Sus scrofa: one gene and its partners. The protein of the gene in region 1 purifies or fractionates together with the protein of each later gene. This does not show direct contact. Links are inferred from orthologs where the notes say so. Each region holds a gene or a part of one and is shown in the gene's direction. Other genes may lie near its edges. The genes, in order: KRAS, PRDX1, C1QBP and HNRNPA0.

Region 1 (5,476 bases):
TCTGGTGGGAGAGAGACAAGATAACAAAGTAAGTTATATGGTGTATTAGAAGGTGATAAGTGCTCTGGAGGAAAATAAAGCAGGAAGAGATAGGATTTGGGAGGAGAAGGGAGAGATGCACATCAAATGATCCATTGGGAAACTCATTAGAAGACACCTGAATAGAGATTTATAAGTGTGGAAGGAAGCTCTGTAGATATATAGTTTTTCCCAGATAAAGGGGCAACAAGTGCAAATTCCCTGGAGAAGCCTGCATGCATTTTCAAAGGTCAGCCTGGAACCAGCATGTATGCCTGGAAGTGAGGAAGATGGACTATAGGATGCAAGCTCAGACTGGAAAGAGGGTAGAGGATGTCAAATAACCGAAGGCTACATAGGGCCTGGAGAACATTTTTGCTTTTATGTTCAGCAGGATGGGAGCCACTATCAGTGGGGGAACAGAGGCATGAACACAATCTGACATGAAGGATTCTTCCTTTCAGTTGTGTCAATCTGGGCCCAATTTCTAGATTTGTTTCCTCTTCTGTAAAATATTTGACCTCATGAGACTGTTGTGATGATTAAATAAGACGATTTGTGCAAAACATTTAGCAATTACCAGACCAAGAGCGGCATTCTTTTCCCTTCCTGGTTTTCCACTTCTCTTCTGCCTCTTCCACCTGGTACCAGGTGTTAGGAGAGGGAGCCAGGAAGGAAACAGCCTTGCAGAGTACAGCCCACAGAAGGGGTAGGAAGAAAAGAGAGGCAGTTGGTATAAGGCCTAGGTTAACAGACATAATAGTAGGGATTTAAAATAACTGTTTTGGAGTTCCCATTGTGCCTCAGCAGGTTAAGAACCCAACTAGTATCCATGAGGATCCAGGTTTGATCCCTGACCCCGATTGAGGGATCTAGTGTTGCCCTGTGTTGCTCTGTAGGTGGCAGACACAGCTCTGATCTCTTGTTGCTGTGGCTGTGGTGTAGGCTGGCAGCTACAGCTGCGATTCTACCCCTAGCCTGGGAACTTCCATATGCCACAGGTTTGGCCCTAAAAAGACAACCCCCCACACCCCAAAAAAACACTTTTATTCATGTTTTATGATGTGGATTAGAGGGACAGAACTGCAGAGAGAGATTCAGATGGGTGGTCCTATTAGGTCTAGGTGCTGGTCTGCCAGGCCTCTGTCTTTAAAACTCTCCCAAACCTTTCTAGGTAGTATATCAACCTCTCAAACCTTTCTTGGTAGTTTATCAATGCAGACACTGGGCATACTAGCAGTTTTAATTGTTCCATTGTTTAATGTGTTAACTCCCTGAACGTTAACTTATTAATCTGTCTTCTAATTAATGTTTGAATGATTCTCCTCAGGTCTAGACTATTAAGGGCACTTCTATTTAAAAACAGTCTGTCTCCTGCTTGTGCCATCAGGGGCAATAGGTACCTCTGAGGTCGCCGTTTAGGGTGCCCCGTAATGGCTTCAGAAGGTTCATAAAGCGACAAAGATCAGACCCCCTCCCCTTAACAGTGATGAAAGGACGTGCTGCTTTGTTGGGACCTGGGGCTAGTACGTTCCTGGTCCCAGAGAGTGCAGAATGGTAATCTCCAAGGCGTGCTCGCACAGCCGGGGGCTGGGGAACTGGGGGCCCAGTCTCTCTCTAAGTCACCCACGTCGCCTCCCACTTTCGAATACTGCTTGTTTATTTACTTGCAGTAAATGATAGTGAATGAATGTGCCCAAGCGTAGGCCGACCCCAGGCGAGGTGGGATTTTCGCAGCTTCTCCGAGTGGACCCCACAGGGGCGCGGCAGGGGTCCCCGTGGCGTCTCCCGGGTGCGCGAGTCTTGAGTCCGCAGCTGCGGGCTATGAGCTGCGGCGGGAGCCTGGGGGCGGGCCCCGCGTGGGGCCACCAGTGCCCCCTCACGCGCGCCCGCTCGCCCGCCCAGGCGCCGCCCAGATCTCCCCACAACCTTGCTCCGCCGGCCGCGCGCAGCCACCCAGCACCGCCCCTGCCGCCCGCTTCTTCAGCGGGCCGGGCCCCCGCCCCACCTCCGCCAGCCGGGTCCGTCCCCTCCCCAGCCGGGCCCCGCCTCCTCCCTCTCCCCGGCGGCACTCTCTCTACCCTCTTTCCACACCGCCCTCAGCCGCTCCCTCCCCGCACGCCCGTCTGGAGAGGAATCGAGCGCCGAGAGCATCGATAGTTCTGCCCTCTGCGGCCGCCTGGCCCCGAACTCATCGGTGAGCTCGGAGCTCGATTTCCCTAGGCGGCGGCCGCGGCGGCGGAGGCACAGCGGCAGCGGCGGCGGTGGCGGCGGCGGCAGCGGTGGCGGCGGCTCGGCCAGTACTCCCGGCCCCCGCCATTTCGGACTGGGAGCTAGCGCGGCGCAGGCACTGAAGGCGGCGGCGGGGGCCAAAGGCTCGGCGGCTCCCAGGTGCGGGAGAGAGGTACGGAGCGGACCACCCCTCCTGGCCCCTGCCGGGGTCCCGACCCTCCTCGCCGGCGCCGGGCGGGGCCGGCGGCGAGTGAATGAATTAGGGGTCCCGGGAGGGGCGGGGAGGGGGCTCGGGCGCGGGGCCCTGGCGGGCGGGCCGGCAGGGTGGGGGGGTCTGCAGGGGGAGGCGCGGGGACGCGGCGACGCGGGGAATGAGGAATGGGCGGTGCGGGGCTGAGGAGGGTGAGGCTGGAGGCGGCCGCTGCTGGTGCTGCTTCCTGGACGGGGAACCCCTTCCTTCCTCCTCCCCGAGAGCCGCGGCTGGAGGCGGCCGGGGAGAAACTCGCGGGCCGGGCGGGCTGCCCCTCGGGGCGGTCGGGTGCGGTGGAGGTTACTCCCGCTGCGCTCCGGCCTCCCCTCCCCCTCGTCGTCCTTCCCTCTCTGTCTCTCCCTTCGCTCCCGCACCTCTTCCTCCCTTCCCAGCACTCGGCTGCTTCGGTTACTGCCTTCTCTGCTGCATCTAGCATCTCTCGGACGGAGGTATAAACTTCTCCCTCGAGCGCAGACTGGATGGCTAGTGGCCCCTTTCCGTGTGTAGGGGGATATGGGAGTAATAGGGGAGGTCACGTTTTGGAAGCGCAAAGAAAAGTGCTTAGAGACCACTGTTTGAGGTTATTGTGTTTGGAAAAATGCATCTGCAGCTGAGTTCCTGACTGCTCCCCTCCCCCATGTATGGGCTGTGACATTGCTGTGGCCACAAAGGAGGAGGTGGAGGTAGTGATGGTGGTGGAAGAACAGGTGGCCAACACCCTACAACGTAAAGCTTGTGACTTAGTGAAAACGAAAAAGTTAATCCCAGAAGGTCTATTTGCTTTGTCAAGTTAAAACACACGCAGAAAACCCGCAAAGCAGAAGCAGGGCTTTTTCTTTACTAGTGGAGTGTAGACAGCGATAGCTAAAATCGTACCTGAAGTTTAATTTGCCCGTTGTTGTCCTTTCCCCCATCTCTTCTGGATTACCTCATGCTTATAAATTTGATCCGCATCTCAGGAGTTATTACAGCCCTCCAAAACAGCACTCACAATTTTTTTTTTTAACAAGAGGAGTTAATTGTAGCAATCTGCCAGCTAACTGTCTGAAATACTTATAGACATGTGCATGATAGTTGAAGTCCTAAACTAGCTTTCTCAAACCTTGATATGGTCAAAACAAGGAGTCAAGAACAGAAAGTTATTTTCTAATTTTTACACAATGTATGTTACATCTGTAATGGAAAAACATCATTAAAAAAGAAATTGCAAAGGGAAAAAGTCTGTTCGCAATCATCATCTCAGAATCAACCCTCTGAGTGATGTCATTCTTAGGTGACTAAGGTCCAAAATGCTGACTTGAATATATAATAGACTATAGACATTAAGTATGGTAAATATCAATACTGCTTACTTTGGGACTGTATCCATCCACGGCGTTCTTGGTTTTAGAAGATAGATGAAATGATAATTCAGTTTTATGACAGAAAAGAGTGGAAATTTTTTTTCTGAACAAAATTTTCAGTTCTGATCCCAGTTCTCCCCAGTGCTAGCTTTTGTAGCTTTGGGTGATGGGGCTCCTTCTGGCCTGTGGTCTTCGGTACAACTCCATGGGAACCCAGTTGTCTCTAGTGGATTTATGTATGTATGTATGCATGTATTCACTTATTTATTTATTGTCTTTTTAGGGCCGCACCCATGGCGTATGGAACTTACCAGGCTAAGGGTCAAATTGGAGCTGCAGCTGCTGACTTACTCCACAGCCACAGCAATGCCAGAGATCCAAGCCACGTATGTGACCTATACCACAACTCACGACAACGCCGGATCCTTAACCCACTGAGTGAGGCCAGAGATCAGACCTACATCCTCATGGATACTAGTTAGATTCTTAACCAGCTAAGCCACAACAGAACTCCTCTAGTGGATTTAAATATTGCCTGATTTTTAAAATCCAAGCAAAGATTCTTTTTAGAAATAACCACTGCATGAAGAAGTGACAGAAGGTGTGTGTGTCTTTCAGAAATCACACATGTATGTACAGCTAAGCGCTAATCCGAGCATTTGCCTGCTGTCTCTCCTAGGCTAGGAAACTTATTGGTTGTAAGGACCTGGACCCCTTTACACTTTTAAAAATTATTGAAGGATCCCAGTGTGAAATATGTCAGTATTTACCATAATAGAAATTAAAATTGAGAATTAAAGAAATATTAATTCATTTTTTTAAAAAGGAAATAACAAGCCTATTACTTGATAACATAAATAGAATTTCTTATGACAAATAACTGTTTTCCAAAACACAAAAATTAAAAGAGTGGCATTGTTTCACACTTTCCAAATCTCTCTAATTATATGGCTTAATAGAAGACATCTGGATCCTCATAGCTGCTTCTGTATACGGTCTGTGGTGATCACACGTCTTGAAAATTCTCCGGTATGCTTGTGAAAGATTAAGAGTGGAAAGGGTAAATCACATCATAGCATTATTAGGAAACCAGTTTTTGACCTCTTGGACCCTCCCCCGAAGTTTTAGGAACCCTAATGGGTTCCTGGACCACATTTTGAAAACTGCTGTTCTAGGTTATCCTTGCTTATGGAGGTGGGGTGGGGTGAGGTAGGCAGGGAGCTAGAGGATACATTTTGGTGTGATTATCCTCACCTATCCCATTTGCTGTGGCCAATATTTGGAATAAAATGGGGGAGCAAACAGATTATGATACATGTTTGTAATGGCCCTAGACAAGGCTAGGTGGCACAGAGCAGGCTAGGGTGCCACTAATGTAATACAACAGTTGTTTGGCCTGTCTCTTTGTGAGTGGGTTCAAGAAGAGGGTGAGGAGGTGTTTAATATGTTATCATGTGGAAAACCATGTAACTTTTTTGAGGGTAGAGGGTGGAGTGCGTATTTGGATAATTCTTGGTCTTCAGTAAATTGGATGCTGCCTTTGTATCTAGTGCTTATATACAACATCTGTACATTCATTAATTTAGAACCAGCTTATGCTGTATTAATTATTGTGCATCGACTTCCATTCTCT
Region 2 (4,868 bases), on another chromosome or scaffold:
TATGTCTGGACATATTATCTTGATTATCTTCCTGGTACTGCTTTTCAGTCTCTTTATCTTGTTGTAAGATGCCTTCAACAATTTAAAATCTCAGTGCTCAAATAGTGGCAACTATGAGTCTGCCTGTTCAGTTTGTGAAATGCATGTGTCACAATTGCTGTATTATTAGGCAGAGAGCTTAGGCACATTCCTTTGACTACTTTGCCCTCAGAAAAGAGTTGATGTCACAGTTGGAACAGCTCCTTTCTGTTATAGTTTATTGTAGACACCTGGCATTCTCATGAGGCCTTTTTTTTTTTTTTTTTTTAAACCTTGCAATCCTGGAGCAGCAGGGCCTTCTGAGACAATTGAAAATATAGATTCCTTGGAATGCAAATCTGAAACTCAGGTGTCAAGTATACCTTTTGTAGTGGTATAGCAGTCAGTTCCTAGAGTTAGCTTTTGGGTAGATCTTATGACTAGATTTCTTAGCACATCTCACATAGGGGTTGGAACACGAGCAGGTCAGTGGGGCCCTATGGAGGGAGGCTTCTCCTGGCAAACAAAGTAAGTAGCACCTTAGGGAGGTGACCCAGGCCCAAGGGTAAAGCCATGAGGTTTTGGAAGAGCTCCTCTTTGCCCGCCAGGGCTTGACCTGCTGAAGCTTGTTAGGCAGAGCCCTGGAGAAGTTTGTTTAGATGAATGGTGTTAGCTTTCAAAGTGAAGTTCAAAAAGGAACAGCTAGTTATGATTTTCAAGCATTGATGCTATTTGGAAATAAGTGAATATTTGAAATTGTTCCAAACAGCTCAGCCCATTAGGTGTGGTGAGAGGCTGCCTGGCAGGTTGGTAGAGTAACTTTAGTAAAATTCCAGCTAGAAATCCTGTTACCTACTAGGAGAAATTTTTTTTTTTCTTTTTTTTTTAGGGCTACATCTGTGGCATATGGAGGTTCCCAGGCTAGGGGTCCAGTCGGAGTTATAGCCACTGGCCTACGCCACAGCCACAGCAATGCCAGATCCAAGCCGGGTCTGGGACCTACACCACTGCTGATGGCAATGCCGGATTCTTAACAACCCACTGAGCGAGGCCAGGGGTGGAGCCCACATCCTCACGGTTACTAGTCTGGTTATCACTGAGCCGCGTAGGAAATCAACTTAAAAAGGCTTCTTGGGAGTTCCCGTCGTGGCTCAGTGGTTAATGAATCTGACTAGGAACCATGAGGTTTCGGGTTCGATCCCTGGGTTAAGGATGTGGCATTGCCGTGAGCTGTGGTGTAGGTCACAGACGCGGCTTAGATCTTGTGTGGCTGTGGCTGTGGTGTAGTCCGGCTGCTACAGCTCCGATTGGCTCCCTAGCCTGGGAACCTCCATATGCTGCAGGAGCGGTCCTAGAAAAGACACACACACACACAAAAATAAAATGTCTTTAGGTTTTCATTGTCTATGAAGCAAGAAGTCTGTTTCGAAGGCTAATTTGTGGCTCCTTTTTTTTTCCCAGGAAAATACGTGGTGTTCTTCTTTTACCCACTTGACTTCACCTTTGTGTGCCCCACGGAGATCATTGCTTTCAGTGAGAGGGCAGAAGAATTTAAGAAACTCAACTGCCAAGTGATTGGTGCTTCTGTGGATTCTCACTTCTGTCATCTGGCCTGGTAAATCTCTTGGTCCATTTGGCACGTGGACTTTTGAACTGAGCAGTGACCGGGACTGGGCAGCTTTGGCAATAGACTTTCTCAAGTATTGGCCTCTGGCTCCTCATGGAAGGAGTGCAAAGGTGTTTTGACTTCCTCTTGTTGTTCTCTTATTACCTGGCAGCTTGGGTTGAGACTGCATGTACCCTGGTGACTTTAATTGTCCTTAGCTGTTTACTTTGCTGGGAAAAGCATGCAGCGTTTGGGGAGTTAGATTAGGAAGGTTGGAAATGGGAAGGAATAAATACAGTTAATGCTTTTGCTACAGAAGAATTTGAATGAATGTGATTGATTTTTTTGCTTGTAGGATCAACACCCCCAAGAAGCAAGGAGGACTGGGACCCATGAACATTCCCTTGATATCAGACCCCAAGCGCACCATTGCGCAGGACTACGGGGTCTTGAAGGCCGACGAAGGCATCTCATTCAGGTAAAAACCTGCGCGGGAGCTGACTGACAGTCAGCAAGAGAGTCATCTGATTGGCTCAAGGTTTTTATTGGAAAGGTAGAGCCCTGATCTGTAGAGAATTCTGATTTCATTTTTTTCCTGTTTTGTGGAGGGAATTGACGTACATCACTGATCGTTCATGGTCTCATTTCATTCTTTAGGCCTGAGGGCCTAAGGGGAAGGAAGGCCCATGTAAGTGCCAGAGACCACCCCATTTCAGTTTCTGCTCTGCTCTAACAGAGCCGATTCTAAAACTGCCGTCTCCCTCATACCTTGACTGTTTTCTCTCTAGGGGCCTTTTTATCATTGACGATAAAGGTATTCTTCGACAGATCACCATAAATGACCTTCCTGTTGGCCGCTCCGTGGATGAGACTCTGAGACTAGTTCAGGCCTTCCAGTTCACTGATAAACATGGGGAAGGTAAGCCAGGTCGCCTGCTAATAGGACAGCAGAATGGTGGGGTGGGGAGAATGGAAGGAACAAAGTCTACCAGATAAGAAAAGAATTTTTATGTCTCTTTAAGAAATTGCAGTCTTTATGGGGAGTTCCTGTCATGTCATGGCTTAGCAGTTAACGAATCTGACTAGGAATCATGAGGCTGCAGGTTCGATCCCTGGCCTTGCTCAGTGGGTTAAGGATCCGGCATTGCCGTGAGCTGTGGTGTAGGTCGCAGACGCGGCTCGGATCCTGTGTTGCTGTGGCTCTGGCATAGGCTGGTGGCTATAGCCTGGGAACCTCCATATGCCGCGGGAGTGGCCTTGGAAAAGGCAAAGAACAACAAAAAAAGGGCATTTGCAGTCTTTGGATTACTGTGGGTGGGTGTGGTGGGGTAGTGGAAAGGCTTGGGGAGGAGACTGTAAAGGCTTTTTGTTTCAGCTGCGTATTCCCAGCTCCTGCCCTGCTCATTTAGAATCGCTCACTGCTGCTGAGTCAACTTGTTAAAGGAATGTAGGAGCATCTCCTAGGTGTATAAGGGCACAACCAAAAAAGATCGAGACTCCCATCTAGAGAAGTGGGCTGTTCTTGACAGTCGTTTATTGGGAGAAGACCATATTCTTTAGATGATACTTGTTTTATTAGGGTTTTAAACAAGTTTTGAGATTTGGGAAATAAAAATTGGACTAAGATAACTTAACCGAAGACAATAGGCAGATAACAATTAATACTTTCTATCTTCTAAAGAATCCATTCTGTGGTGTGATGTGGTTGCCCTATTTGTAAGAATTGTAGTCACCAAATACCAAATTATATAAATGTTTAATATAAAAGTTATTTTAAAGGAGGAGTTAGGGCTAGGGAGTTTGAAGTGAAATATCAAGATTCTTCATTGTTTCAGGATCAAAGAATGTTTTTGTGGGAGTTCTCTCATGGTCTAGTGGTTACGACTTGGCGTTTTCAGTGCTGTAGCTCTGGTTGTCCTCACATCAAGTTGCCGCATGGCCTGGCAAAAAGCAAAGACCAAGACCAAGAAAAATGGGAGTTCCCAACATGGCTCAGTGTGTTAAGAACCTGATCAGTATCCATGAGGATGTGGGTTTGATCCCTGGTCTTGCTCAGTGGGATAAGGATCCAGCATTGCCATGAGCTGTGGTGTAGGTCAAAGATGTGGCCCAGATCCTTCGTTGCTGTTGTTATGGTGTAGGCTGGTAGCTGCTGCTGCGATTTGACCCCTAGTCTGGGAACTAAAGCATGCCACAGGTGCTCCCCTAAAAAAAAACCAAAAACCCAATAAAAAATCCTCCAAAAACCTAAATATAAAAAAAAATCTCCCCAAAGATAATGTTTTTGTGAGTCTGTCCTTGTAAAATCTGTGACTGAGCAGATTCAATTTGTTTTTTTTTTTTAATGTAGCATTGCTAGAGTGTAGGTCCTCCTTTTCACTGCTCTAGCTCTTTTCTTTTTTTTGTTCTTTTTTTGGCTTTTTGCCTTAGGGTCGCTCCTGAGGCATATGGAGGTTCCCAGGCTAGGGGTCAAATCAGAGCTACAGCTGCCAGCCTATACCACAGCCACAGACAGCAACGCCAGATCTGAGCCGCGTCTGCAACCTTCACCACAGCTCAGGGCAACGCCGGATCTTCAACCCACTGAGCAAGGCCAGGGATCAAACCCACAATCTCATGGTTACTAGTCGGATTCGTTAACCACTGAGCCATGATGGGAACTCTGAGCTCTTTTCTTATATAGTATCATTACCATGTTTTCACAAAGTTTTTTTTTTGTTTTTTTTTTTGCTTTTTAGAGCTGCACCCGTGGCATGTGGAGGTTCCCAGACTAGGGGTTTAATTGGAGCTACAGCTGCCGGCTTACACCAGAGCCACAGAAACACAGAATCCGAGCCGTGTCTGCCATGTACATACACCACAGCTCACGGCAACGCTGTGATCTTTGACCCACTGAGTGAGGCCAGGGATCGAACCTGCAACCTCTCGGTTCCTAGTTGGCTTCGTTTCCGCTGTGCAATGATGGGAACTCCCTTTGTTTTCATAAAGTCTTGAAGCACTTGATCCCATCCTTTGAATTTGTAAGGATGTGGCTTTTTTTTCTTTTTTTGGTTTTTATGGCCCCACCTGTGGCATATGGAAGTTCCCAGGCTAGGAGATGAATCGGAGCTACAACTGCTGGCCTCCATCACAACCACAGCAATGCTGGATCCTTAACCCACTGAGTGAGGCCAGGGATTGAATCTGCATCCTCATGGATACTGATTGGGTTTATTACCGCTGAGCTACAATAGGAACTCCCAAG
Region 3 (5,446 bases), on another chromosome or scaffold:
GTGCAATGTTTCCCAATGATGTCGCACATCTAATCTTGAACTATGCTTTTCAATCAATAAGCTCTCCAATGGTGTGCTTTCTACCTTTTTTCAAACCTGTGAAATCCACATCTGGGTGAATCCCTAGCTCCCTGGAGCAGCGTCATGTCAGTAGATGCACAGCAAGCAGGTGTTTGTCCTCCTGCGTCTAGTAATCATGGCGCTTGGAGCCTTCAAGGCAGCACAGATTTCATTACAAGGGGAAAAAGCGCCAACACCCAGTTCTTGGTAAAAATCCTAACTTAATGTTGCCTCTCTGTTGTAAAGAGATGCCAGAATGAGGACAAGTTTTTCCTTTGTGGATCCAACTGATTATGTACTGTGATGTCTGAATCCATTGAATCCAGCTCTCCAGAAATGAGTAGAACTATGACCAGGCATCTGAGGTACCACCCCTTGAACATATAAGGAAACAGTGCATCTATGGGGAAGCAAGAATTGTATTTGATCAGAATATTACAACTTATAGAAAAAAGCCCCCAAAAATCTAGTTCGGGTTTGTGCTGTATTTTGAGAGTCTGTTCTTGATCAGACATAACTATAGAAACATCAGCTCTTGCATATAATGCTCAAATTTGCACACAGCTATTAAATCCATTAAAAGTGAACCTTAAAAAAAAAAGCATACCATAAGTGAATCTTGTACGTGATGTGTGTGACGTGATGTGTGTGGCTTCTTTCTTGGGTGTCCTTTCCTTTATTCACAAAATGTTGTTTAGAATATATTGTTTTAGGAGTTCCCGTCGTGGCCCAGTGGTTAACGAATCCGACTAGGAACCATGAGGTTGCGGGTTCGATCCCTGGCCTTGCTCAGTGGGTTAAGGATCCGGCGTTGCCGTGAGCTGTTGTGTAGGCTGCAGACGTGGCTTGGATCCCGCATTGCTGTGGTTCTGGCGTAGGCTGGAGGCTCCAGCTCCGATTGGACCCCTGGCCTGGGAACCTCCATATGCCGCGGGAGCAGCCCTAGGAAAAAAAAAAGGAATATATTGTTTTATTTTCACCACTGATTTGGGAAGACTTACTTTCTTGATGACCCTGTGTATTTTACGTGCCCTGGTAAGGTAGGAAGATTAGTTTTCTTAATCTAAATCTAATGTAAGCTGTGAGGTTTTTGCCCCCAGAAAAATAATGTCCTGTTGGAACATTAAGGTGTAAAGTTGGAGAGAGCTGGGGAGTCACAGGAATTGATCAGGGACCTTGCCCTTAGGAGCGCCAGGCCTGGTGGGAGTGAGGGGTGGCTTCCAGGTAAACCAGTATTGCCAGGTTTCTGCCAAGAAAAGAATGAAACCCAGGGGCCGAGTCACACAGGCATGAGTCCCTGTGTCTCAAGGAAGAGGAGGAAGCTCCAGGAAGGCTTCCTAAGGGAGATGGCCTCGGAGGCTGGTCTTTGGGAGTTGTGGGTGGCAAGAATGCATTCCACGAAGTCATAGAAAACCTGGCTGTGCTTGAGAAGAGTAGATGGAAGTTTAGAGGGTGTGTCAGCAGCCACTGGAGAGAACTGATGCTGGACAATTGAACTCAGCCGACTCCGGAAAGAAAATTTAGTTACGCGAGTCCAGCACCGGAGGCCGCCAGCAGAGGGCGCCATCCCGCCCACGGTGTCTTCGGTCTGCAAAGAGGCAGCGCGGAAGCGCTTCCCTGGCAGGGGCGGGACTTCCGGCGGCGGTCCTATCACTAGGGGGCGCGGTGAGAAGGAGTCGTCCTTCTTGGAGTGAGTCGTCTTTCGCATCCACACGTGTCCTCCGCTGCCAAAATGCTGCAACTGCTACGCTGCGTGCCCCGCGCCCTGGGCACCGCCGTCGCCGGCCTTTGCGTCGCCGCGCCCTCCCAGCCGCTCCCGCGGCTGCTGCAGCCCGCGTCCCGGCTGTGCGCCCGGCCCTTCGGGCTCCTGAGCGTGCGTGCCGGGTCGGTGCAGCCGCCCAGCCTCCTACGGCCTCGGGGGCCCTGCGCCTGCGGCTGCGGCTGCGGCGGGCTGCACACCGAAGGTGAGACTCGAGCACGTGGGCCGGGAGCTTAACGGACCGGGTTCTGGGTGGAGCAGGGGGACCCGGGACGGGGAAGTTTAGATCTCAAGTGGACAGACCGGAGCCGCGCCCGAGGTCGGGAACAATCTCCCACTGATCGGCGAAAGGCGGGGTAAACCCACGCGAGATTGCCCGTGAGGGGAGAGATACTTAAGCTTAGTCTCTCGAAAATGGATTTTTGTGAAAGCCAAAGGTCGCGGGTAGAAGTAGCGGTGATGGTAGTTAGCAAGAGAAGTAGGGTAGTTACGAATTCTTTTGCTTTGTTTTGAAAAGTGGTAAGAAGTTTATTGTTGAGAATCACTTTTACAGAATCGAGCTCAACTTCTTACTGATAACTTAACGGCATTTTTACAGATGGGGAAACTGAGTCCTAATGGATATGGGTTGGTCTAAGTTCCTAGAGCCACTAATAGTACAAGTATTAGAAATAGCTCAAGTCCAGATCTCTGCCTACAGGAACCTGGGTCATTTTTCTCTTTTAGATTGATTGGTTCTTTTTTCTGTAACTAAGTGATTTCTATTGCAGGGGACAAAGCTTTTGTTGAATTTCTTAATGATGAGATTAAGGAAGAGAAGAAGATACAGAAGCATAAGTCTCTCCCCAAGATGTCTGGAGGTTGGGAGCTGGAAGTGAATGGGACAGAAGCCAAATTAGTGAGGAAAGTTGCTGGAGAAAAGTAAGTACTGGGGCCTGTGGACTCCATGACCCTGCAAGAGCTGCCCTGAGTCATCCCCAAACAGCCTTTAGTTGGTTGCTGCGGTGTAGGTCACAACTGCAGCCCAGATCTGATCCCTGACCTGGAAACTCCATATGCCAAGGGGTGGCCAGAAAGGAAAAACAAAACCAAAAACCAGCCTTTAGTTAAGGCAGGTACTTTGACACTTTCTGAGAGCTGAGAGGCCTTGTTTTGGTAACTTCACAAGCTCCAGGCCGTTCATCCGCTGCACACTGATGTGCTGTGGTGGTTAATGAGAAGGTAGTAAGAAAGTAGAAAGAAGCCAAGTAGCTGGGAGTCTGTTGGACCAGTAGAGGCATCATTCACTAAACCCTTACTGGTGAGGGAGGCCACGCCTTTCCTAAATCTAGGCATGCAAATTCAGAAATTCTGACAGTAGGAGAGAATCTCTGAGTTACAGGCTAGGAAAACAAAGCCCCTACTGTGTTTACAGTGGAGAAAAGAAGATAAGTGGCAGGATGGGGTATGGCAAGGGTTATCATTAGAGAGGTGGGAAGCCTTCCACTTGGTTAAGCTAAGTCCGCGATCCACTCTGGGTGAACAAAGGTTTCTGTTTGTGCTGTGAAGTAGGATTCTGGTTCTTTTTCACCTGGTGGTGTAGTTAGTGTGTTTCCCCTTCATAAATCCATCGTGTTATTCTGGAACTTTGCCTAAACCACTTGACTAGGGTAAGTCATAGGCAGTTTAAGGCCAGTGTAAAAATAATGTTCTAATGAACGTAACTGCAATTTGGTGCCCAGGAGCTCAGCTTAGTCAGCACTGTTGCAGATTAGACAAATTTTATGGCTGAACCTCAAACCTCAAACTGACAAGGCGGCTGGTTAGCACAGCCCGGAGAAGAACTACAGCGCACTGCGGCACACCACCCAGCACTGCTCATTCCAAATCTGTTTATCATTCAAACTTTGAAACGAGGTACCATGAGGTGGCGAGTCTTTTAACTTAAAATTGTCACTACTTGATGTTTGCAGTCTGCTTTGTGATTGTAACACTTCGCGCAACTGCCCTGAGGAATGAGCCTGTCCTGCAGCCTGTTCTCTGGGAGCTCTCCCCTCACTGGCTGCTCCTCATGCTCAGCTCATGCCACCACCCTCCAGGACGCCTTCTTCCTTCCTCCCAGGGGCAGATTTTCTGATGGAGGACAGCTTTTTAAAGGCTTTGCCCCCAGCTTCTCAGCTGTTCACCACCACCAGAGGGTGTCCTGGGAAGACTGGGACAGCAGTGTTAGCTGGCTGTGGACACATGTTGGCACTGAGCCCCGGATGCTGACCTGATGGAAGGGGCCCAACCATGACTGTCTTAGGAGCTAGGGTCTATTTGACGGCCGTCTGGCAGCACATAGTAGGCCCACCTCAGACCTGCTGAATCCAGCTGTGGGTAGGATGCAGGCACCCGCCTTAACTACTCTGTTGAAAGTACATTCTGTGTTTCTTTGGCTTTTCTAGGATCACTGTCACCTTCAACATCAACAACAGCATCCCACCCCCCTATGGGGAGGAGGAGCAGCCGTCGGAAGGGCAGAAGGTTGAGGAACAGGAGGTAGGTTTGTAGCACAGGAACCAGCTTGTGCCACCTTGTTCTGACAGGCCATTCTGGAGGCTTAGAGAAGGAGCCCTGGTTTTTGCTGTTTCCCGTCCTCTAATGCTAGGGGAGAGAAGGCAAAATACAGTCATCCTTGGGCCTTTTCTTATAAAGCACTAGTTTCTAGCCAGCTTTAAGCCGGGGACTCTGTGGCCCCTTTTCTTTCCCAGGGCCCAAGTAAATTGTAGGCTGCAGACTTTGGCTCTGTAGTTTCAAAGGTACTGAAATTGTCTCGCCTTTCTCATGATCAGGAGGCGTTTGGTACCCGAGATCACCATTTGGAGGGTTTCCACGCAAGGAATGTCCTGAGACACTCCAGGCTGACAGTTCACACCAGCCAGAGGCAGCACAGACTTTGGCACGGTTTCTCCTTAGATTGTCGACCCCCTTGGTTGGACCTGGATGGTGCTCAGTCTTCACACATTTAGGAAGCGGTGTACCTGGCCTAGAAACCAGCCAGTGTGAGGGCTACAGGGTCCCCAGATTTTCTGGCTGGGTGGGCATGGTACTGTCTCATGATCCAGCAGTTCCGCTCCCTGGAAGACCCCGCCTGCCCCCATTGCACTCACCTTCAAAGGAAGGCTTGCTGTGATTATTCAGCCATTGGGATGACCAGTTAACTAGAGGTGATTAAGCAGCCTTTGGTCCCTGGCTGTAAGAAAGGAAGAGCCCCCAAAGGATCTTGGAGCTTTAGGCCAGCTTTGCATTGTATGGATATAGAAACGGGCCCAGAAAGATTTAGTTGGCAGAGCTGGGGCTAGAGTTCAGATTTTCTAATTCCAAACCTCCCGTGTTCTTTAAACAAGTAGGGCGCTAATAGAAGTAAAATGCTGTACCAAAGATACGATACACTGCCCTCCAAAAGAGAGTCTGTAACTCTAGAAAGGTCGGCTGCAGTCCCCTCTCCCTGACCAGCTGGTATGTGGCTTTAGTGTTAGAGATTCTCCGCGCCTATTTGGGAACACTCTAGCGTACCGCAAGACTTAAAAATCGGCTAAATAATATCCTAAACTGAGATCTCTGGTCTAGACCCGTGCCGACAAAGGCATTCACTAACTTGGTCTT
Region 4 (5,363 bases), on another chromosome or scaffold:
TTTGTAATGATAGTTTCTTATTATCTTTCTCTTTTATTTTTTTCAGTGACACTTACCAATATCTAACATGCTGTATATAATTCTTATTTACTGTCAGCTTCTCCCCACAAGAATGTAAGCTCCCCGAGGAGAGATTTTTGCCTGTTGTTTACTACAGTATTCCCATCATTCGGTATTTATTGGATAAATTGAGCACTTACTATGTGTCAGGCATTATGCTTTGCATTACATGCAGAATCCCATTTAAATTTTACCATACTGGCTAGGTGTTTTATGTTCTGATTTTGAGATATTAAAACTCAATTTAATTTTTAAAAGGTTAGGTGACTTGGCCAAAGTCACACAACTCAGTGGTTAATAGGTGGTAGAACCAGGCTATAGTTTGCCCTCAGACTTTGCAGCCTATCTATATGCCTTTAATAATATTCATATTCTTTAAATTTCAAGACATTCCCTAATATCAAGACCCTCAGCCTATCTTACTTTTCTATCAGAAACCTGATCCAGTTAAACTGCCCCTGGGAGCATATGTATCTTATAACTTTCCTCCAGATTTTGTTGAGATAAACTCCCTATAGAAATCTTATCCAGCCCTTCACTCTGTGATCCAGTGCAACTTGTACCTCTTTTAACAAATCATTCCTGAATACATCCCTTTCCAGGATACAGTAAGGAATTCCTGTTCTTATTAGCCACATGGTTTGGGGTTCTTGATCATATAATTAGTCTTACACTGTGTCCCACTGCTCGTATCTTGTTGGCACACTAAAGGGTCAATAAATGGGAGCCATTCTAACTTTCTTGCATTCCCATCTGAGCCCTGAAGGCAGTTTTCCAGGGTGCATACTTTTACGCAGTGTGCATGTGTTTCTCCCTCCGCTCCCAGTCCCACTGAAAACGTCTTTAAAATGCTAACGATTCAGTTGGGAAGGAAGCACGCAGAGAAGACGTAAACATTAAGATGATGTGTACACTGGGCTAAAATGAACATGTCCGCTGACGGAGGAGTGCGTGAAGGTAGGCTGAGGGGCGTCGCGGGACGGCCTCACGGAGGGCCTCAGGGTGGCGGGGGTCTCGCGCTGCGCCTCGGTAGGAAAGTCTGAAGTGTTTTCGGCCTGCCGCTGTCCTCGGCCTCGGGCTCGCCTTCCCGCAGGGCCACGTGCCAGTGTTTTAGTCTCATCGCGCCTGGGGCCCCTAGAAACGGTTAATAACCGCCTTCCCCAACTAGGCCTCTCCCCTCCATCTTTGTGCGGACGGGAGGGGCGAGGACGCCAGGTGTAGCGGCCAGGCGAAATCGGGCGGGTAAAACCAGGCCCCCAACCCCAACAGTCAAGTTTTCAAAAAGCCCGCGCGTGCCGCCCCAGGTGGCATCCGTTGGGAACAGCCCCCAGCGCGTCCCCGATCAACCCTCCCGCCCCCCACCCGCCGTGGCAGGTCCAAGGCGGGAGGAGGCGTGGGGGTTGCAAGCAAACTCCGCACACGGGGAGCGCGGGGGCCAGCGCGCATTGGGGAGCGCGCCCATCCGGCGGCTGCCGAAAACGGAAGTGAGTGCGAGCGGGTCGCGGTGATTGGCTGAACCGACACGTCTCTCAAGGGGCTGGCGCGAACGCCACTGCGGAGTTGGGCGAGGGGATACGGCAAGGGGAGGGGGAAAAATCACTGGGAACAGCCGCGGAGCAGGGAACGAATGAATCACGGACGTTCGCGAAGGGCAGCGAGAGTCCGTAGTCAGGGCGCACTGGGGATCCCGAGAGTGAAAGCGGGAGGTAGAGGCGGCGGCGGCAGCAGCACAGGCCGAGGGCTTGAATAGACCGCGGAGGGCGGGGAGTCAGTGATCAAGAGCGGCGCTGCGGTACGGTAGGCGGGACTAATGAGTGCGAGGCGGGGATTGGCGAGCAGCCCTGGGCTGCCGTACGTCGGCGGTGACGCACGCCTCGGGGAGGGTGCGCGCGCGTTCAGCGGCCTCTTTGTGTGGTGCCCAGATAGGGGAGCGGAGGTAGTGGCGGCGGTAGCGGCGGTCTCGGTTGTCTTCCAGTCTCCTCCGCTCGCCCTCTAACCGGCACCTCTCCCCTTCCCTCCCCCTTCCTCTCTTCCTCTTTCCCTTCCCTCCCCTTCTTCCCTTCCCCGTCGGTGGCCGGCGGGGGCGGCTCCAGCAACGGCTGGGCCCAAGCTGTGAAGAGGCCTTAGCCAACGATAACGGCGACGGCGAAACCTCGGAGCTCGCAGGGCGGGGGGAAGGCCCGGGCCGTGGAGATGGAGAATTCCCAGTTGTGTAAGCTGTTCATAGGCGGCCTCAACGTGCAGACGAGTGAGTCGGGCCTGCGCGGCCACTTTGAGGCCTTTGGGACCCTGACAGACTGCGTGGTGGTGGTGAACCCCCAGACCAAGCGCTCCCGTTGCTTCGGCTTCGTGACCTACTCCAATGTGGAGGAGGCCGATGCCGCCATGGCTGCCTCGCCCCATGCCGTGGACGGCAACACGGTGGAGCTGAAGCGGGCGGTGTCCCGGGAGGATTCGGCGCGGCCCGGTGCTCACGCCAAGGTGAAGAAGCTCTTTGTCGGGGGCCTTAAGGGAGACGTGGCCGAGGGCGACCTGATCGAGCACTTCTCGCAGTTTGGCACCGTGGAAAAGGCCGAGATTATTGCCGACAAGCAGTCGGGCAAGAAGCGGGGCTTCGGCTTCGTCTATTTTCAGAATCACGACGCGGCAGATAAGGCCGCGGTGGTGAAGTTCCATCCGATCCAGGGCCATCGCGTGGAGGTGAAAAAGGCTGTCCCCAAGGAGGATATCCACTCCGGTGGGGGCGGAGGCGGCTCGCGGTCCTCGCGGGGCGGCCGTGGCGGCCGGGGTCGCGGCGGCGGTCGTGACCAGAACGGCCTGTCTAAGGGCGGTGGCGGCGGTTACAACAGCTACGGGGGTTACGGCGGCGGCGGCGGCTACAACGCCTACGGAGGCGGCGGCGGCGGCTCGTCCTACGGTGGAAGCGACTACGGTAACGGCTTCGGCGGCTTCGGCAGCTACAGCCAGCACCAGTCCTCCTATGGGCCCATGAAGAGCGGCGGCGGCGGCGGCGGAGGCAGCAGCTGGGGCGGTCGCAGTAACAGTGGACCTTACAGAGGCGGCTATGGCGGTGGGGGTGGCTATGGAGGCAGCTCCTTCTAAAAAATTTTAAACGTGTGGGAGTGGATATGGGGGTAGCTCTTTCAACCACCCAAGTAGGGTCAACTCCTAAGTTCCTTCCCCTCCCAGCACCTTCCTTATTTTGCCCTTGGTGGGGAGCCACTCGTATGGCTGCTTACCCGTGGGGGTGTTGCCCTATTTGCCTGCCACCTCTCGTCTCTCCCTTTGAAGATGGACTTGGCCCCACATACACATTTTTGTGTTACAGTCATTGATGGACTCTATTTTTTTATTATTACTTGGACCTTGGTCGTTTTTATACTAGCAAAATGTCTTGTTTTAATTTGTGTTTTTTTGGGGGGGAGGGAGTGAACTTGCTGATTCTGTAGCAAAACCTGGGCGGGGGTTGGGGGGGTAGTTTACTTTGTTGTAAGGACTTGATACCTGGCTACAGCGTTTTCTATGAAATCTACTTGGATCCCATGCCCGAAATTTGGAAGCATATGTACAAAAATCATTTTTACGTTTTATTTTTAATAAATCATTGTGTTTGACCGTACATGTCTAACATTTTTTTCCTAGGATCCATTCCGTACCGTTTTAAGGGATGTTGAAAATTTTTCGTGTTAATTCTTAATTCTTGATGTGTACTTAGAGAAACTTTTAAAAGGTCCTGTGGGTTTTTTTTCCTTCCTGTTACACTGCTAGTGACGTGTTGAATTTTATCCCTTACAGGCAAAACTTTTGAAGTGGTGGATGTGGCTTTTTAAAATCTTTAAAGTTTCTCTGCATCCATCTCTTGTACTAAGCGATTTGCTTATCATCTTGACATGGTTGGTTACTTCTTTCTATGAGAATTTACTTCAAAGTATGTACTGTGTAGTTCTAAATAGTTTGTGTTAAGCATGTGTTTTCATTCATATAAACTGTTGAGAATTTTCAGATGGCCTAGATTCATCCCTTTTACTGGTTTGTCTGTAATGAATGGTTACAAATAAGGGTTCTATTTTACCCTCAACTAAATGCATTTTTGTATTTTCAGAGCAGGTTTAAATGTTTTTTTTTTTCCTATAGCTGAAATGTCCTCATGGAAATCCTTCCCCCAACCTTTGTAGCACCATCTACTGGCAGAATGGCAGTATATCTGCAAAACAATTTGTTTAAAAACTTGTTTAACAAGGACAGTTGCATCAGATTTAGAAGTTTTGCCATCGAAGATCTGTGCAGACTTTGGTTATGTATTTACTTGTAACTAAGATGGGCTTTCCAGGAATGTAGTTATCAGTCCATATCACAATTGCCCTTTCTACATGAGATTTGAAAATGTAAACTGCTATGCATAGCTTGGGCAGTGGCCCCAAATTGCTATGACAACTAATGAACCAGCTATGTGTACTGGTATCTTACTTAGGTGCAAGTTGTAAAGCAAAACATCTGTGTATTCTGCTTGGTTAACAAATGTATATTTGTAGCCCTTTCATGCAATAGAATTCAAGTTGTTGTTTATAAAAAGCAAAACAAAACAATGATATAGGAGAAAATTGCCTTCCTGGATAGAAATATAGAATAGCAACGTTTATGGATATCGCAAATAAAGAATTCATTTCTTTACATGATCGAGTGAGAGTATGTATAACCTGGTGGGTGTGTTCTAAGTACCTATTATTCTAGTACCTACATTTGATTTAATGTTACGGTAAAATACTTGGAATTTTGCATTGAAAGCCCAAAGCTATATGTATTAAGCTTTCTGAAGGGAGATTATTGAGCTTTAAAAAGTAAAGGAGTATATTGACCCTTTTTCTCTTAGTTCTTGTCACTATATTAAGATTTAATTCTTGCTAATCTCCCCCCCCCACACACACACCCAGTGCTAGGGCTCTCCTTTCAAGAGATAGAGAGGTTTCAAGATTGCTTGATGAGTTAAGGCTAAGCAGTCACTTTGACAAAGGGTAGCTGATGCTTGGTTCATATATTAAGTTCCTCTACTGCAAATGGGATAGATGTTTTTGCACATTGAGTAAGTTAGAGTCAACTCTTGCTCTCAAATGGTTTTACAATTTGCTTAAATTTCTGTTTTTTATTCTTAGTAAAATGCGTCATACTGTTTCTTCATTTGGTTATTTGGTCTAGCTTGTTGGGGGCTCTAAGATACAGAAAATAATATGCTCAAATTTTTTATTATTACTCTGCTTGCCTATTACTCAGTTTTAGAAGAAGGATCTACTTTTCTGGTTCAGTTG

Evidence for each region.
Region 2: the proteins of KRAS (region 1) and PRDX1 purify together in Homo sapiens (affinity purification with mass spectrometry; 3 studies listed by BioGRID and IntAct, with this or other methods). This does not show direct contact. The link is inferred for Sus scrofa from reciprocal best matches to the Homo sapiens genes KRAS and PRDX1.
Region 3: the proteins of KRAS (region 1) and C1QBP purify together in Homo sapiens (affinity purification with mass spectrometry; 3 studies listed by BioGRID and IntAct, with this or other methods). This does not show direct contact. The link is inferred for Sus scrofa from reciprocal best matches to the Homo sapiens genes KRAS and C1QBP.
Region 4: the proteins of KRAS (region 1) and HNRNPA0 purify together in Homo sapiens (affinity purification with mass spectrometry; 3 studies listed by BioGRID and IntAct, with this or other methods). This does not show direct contact. The link is inferred for Sus scrofa from reciprocal best matches to the Homo sapiens genes KRAS and HNRNPA0.

What each region holds. Positions count from the first base shown.
Region 1 is NC_010447.5:48,506,560-48,512,035, forward strand, and holds the start of KRAS (GTPase KRas), read left to right. Parts: upstream 1-2,263; 5' UTR 2,264-2,422; intron 2,423-5,476. UniProt on the Homo sapiens protein: Ras proteins bind GDP/GTP and possess intrinsic GTPase activity. Plays an important role in the regulation of cell proliferation.
Region 2 is NC_010448.4:165,849,922-165,854,789, forward strand, and holds part of PRDX1 (peroxiredoxin-1), read left to right. Parts: intron 1-1,479; coding exon 1,480-1,633; intron 1,634-1,979; coding exon 1,980-2,102; intron 2,103-2,412; coding exon 2,413-2,543; intron 2,544-4,868. UniProt on the Homo sapiens protein: Thiol-specific peroxidase that catalyzes the reduction of hydrogen peroxide and organic hydroperoxides to water and alcohols, respectively.
Region 3 is NC_010454.4:51,546,674-51,552,119, forward strand, and holds the start of C1QBP (complement component 1 Q subcomponent-binding protein, mitochondrial), read left to right. Parts: upstream 1-1,687; 5' UTR 1,688-1,792; coding exon 1,793-2,024; intron 2,025-2,589; coding exon 2,590-2,740; intron 2,741-4,245; coding exon 4,246-4,339; intron 4,340-5,446.
Region 4 is NC_010444.4:139,779,235-139,784,597, reverse strand, and holds HNRNPA0 (heterogeneous nuclear ribonucleoprotein A0), read left to right. Parts: upstream 1-1,581; 5' UTR 1,582-2,253; coding exon 2,254-3,162; 3' UTR 3,163-4,733; downstream 4,734-5,363. UniProt on the Homo sapiens protein: mRNA-binding component of ribonucleosomes. Specifically binds AU-rich element (ARE)-containing mRNAs. Involved in post-transcriptional regulation of cytokines mRNAs.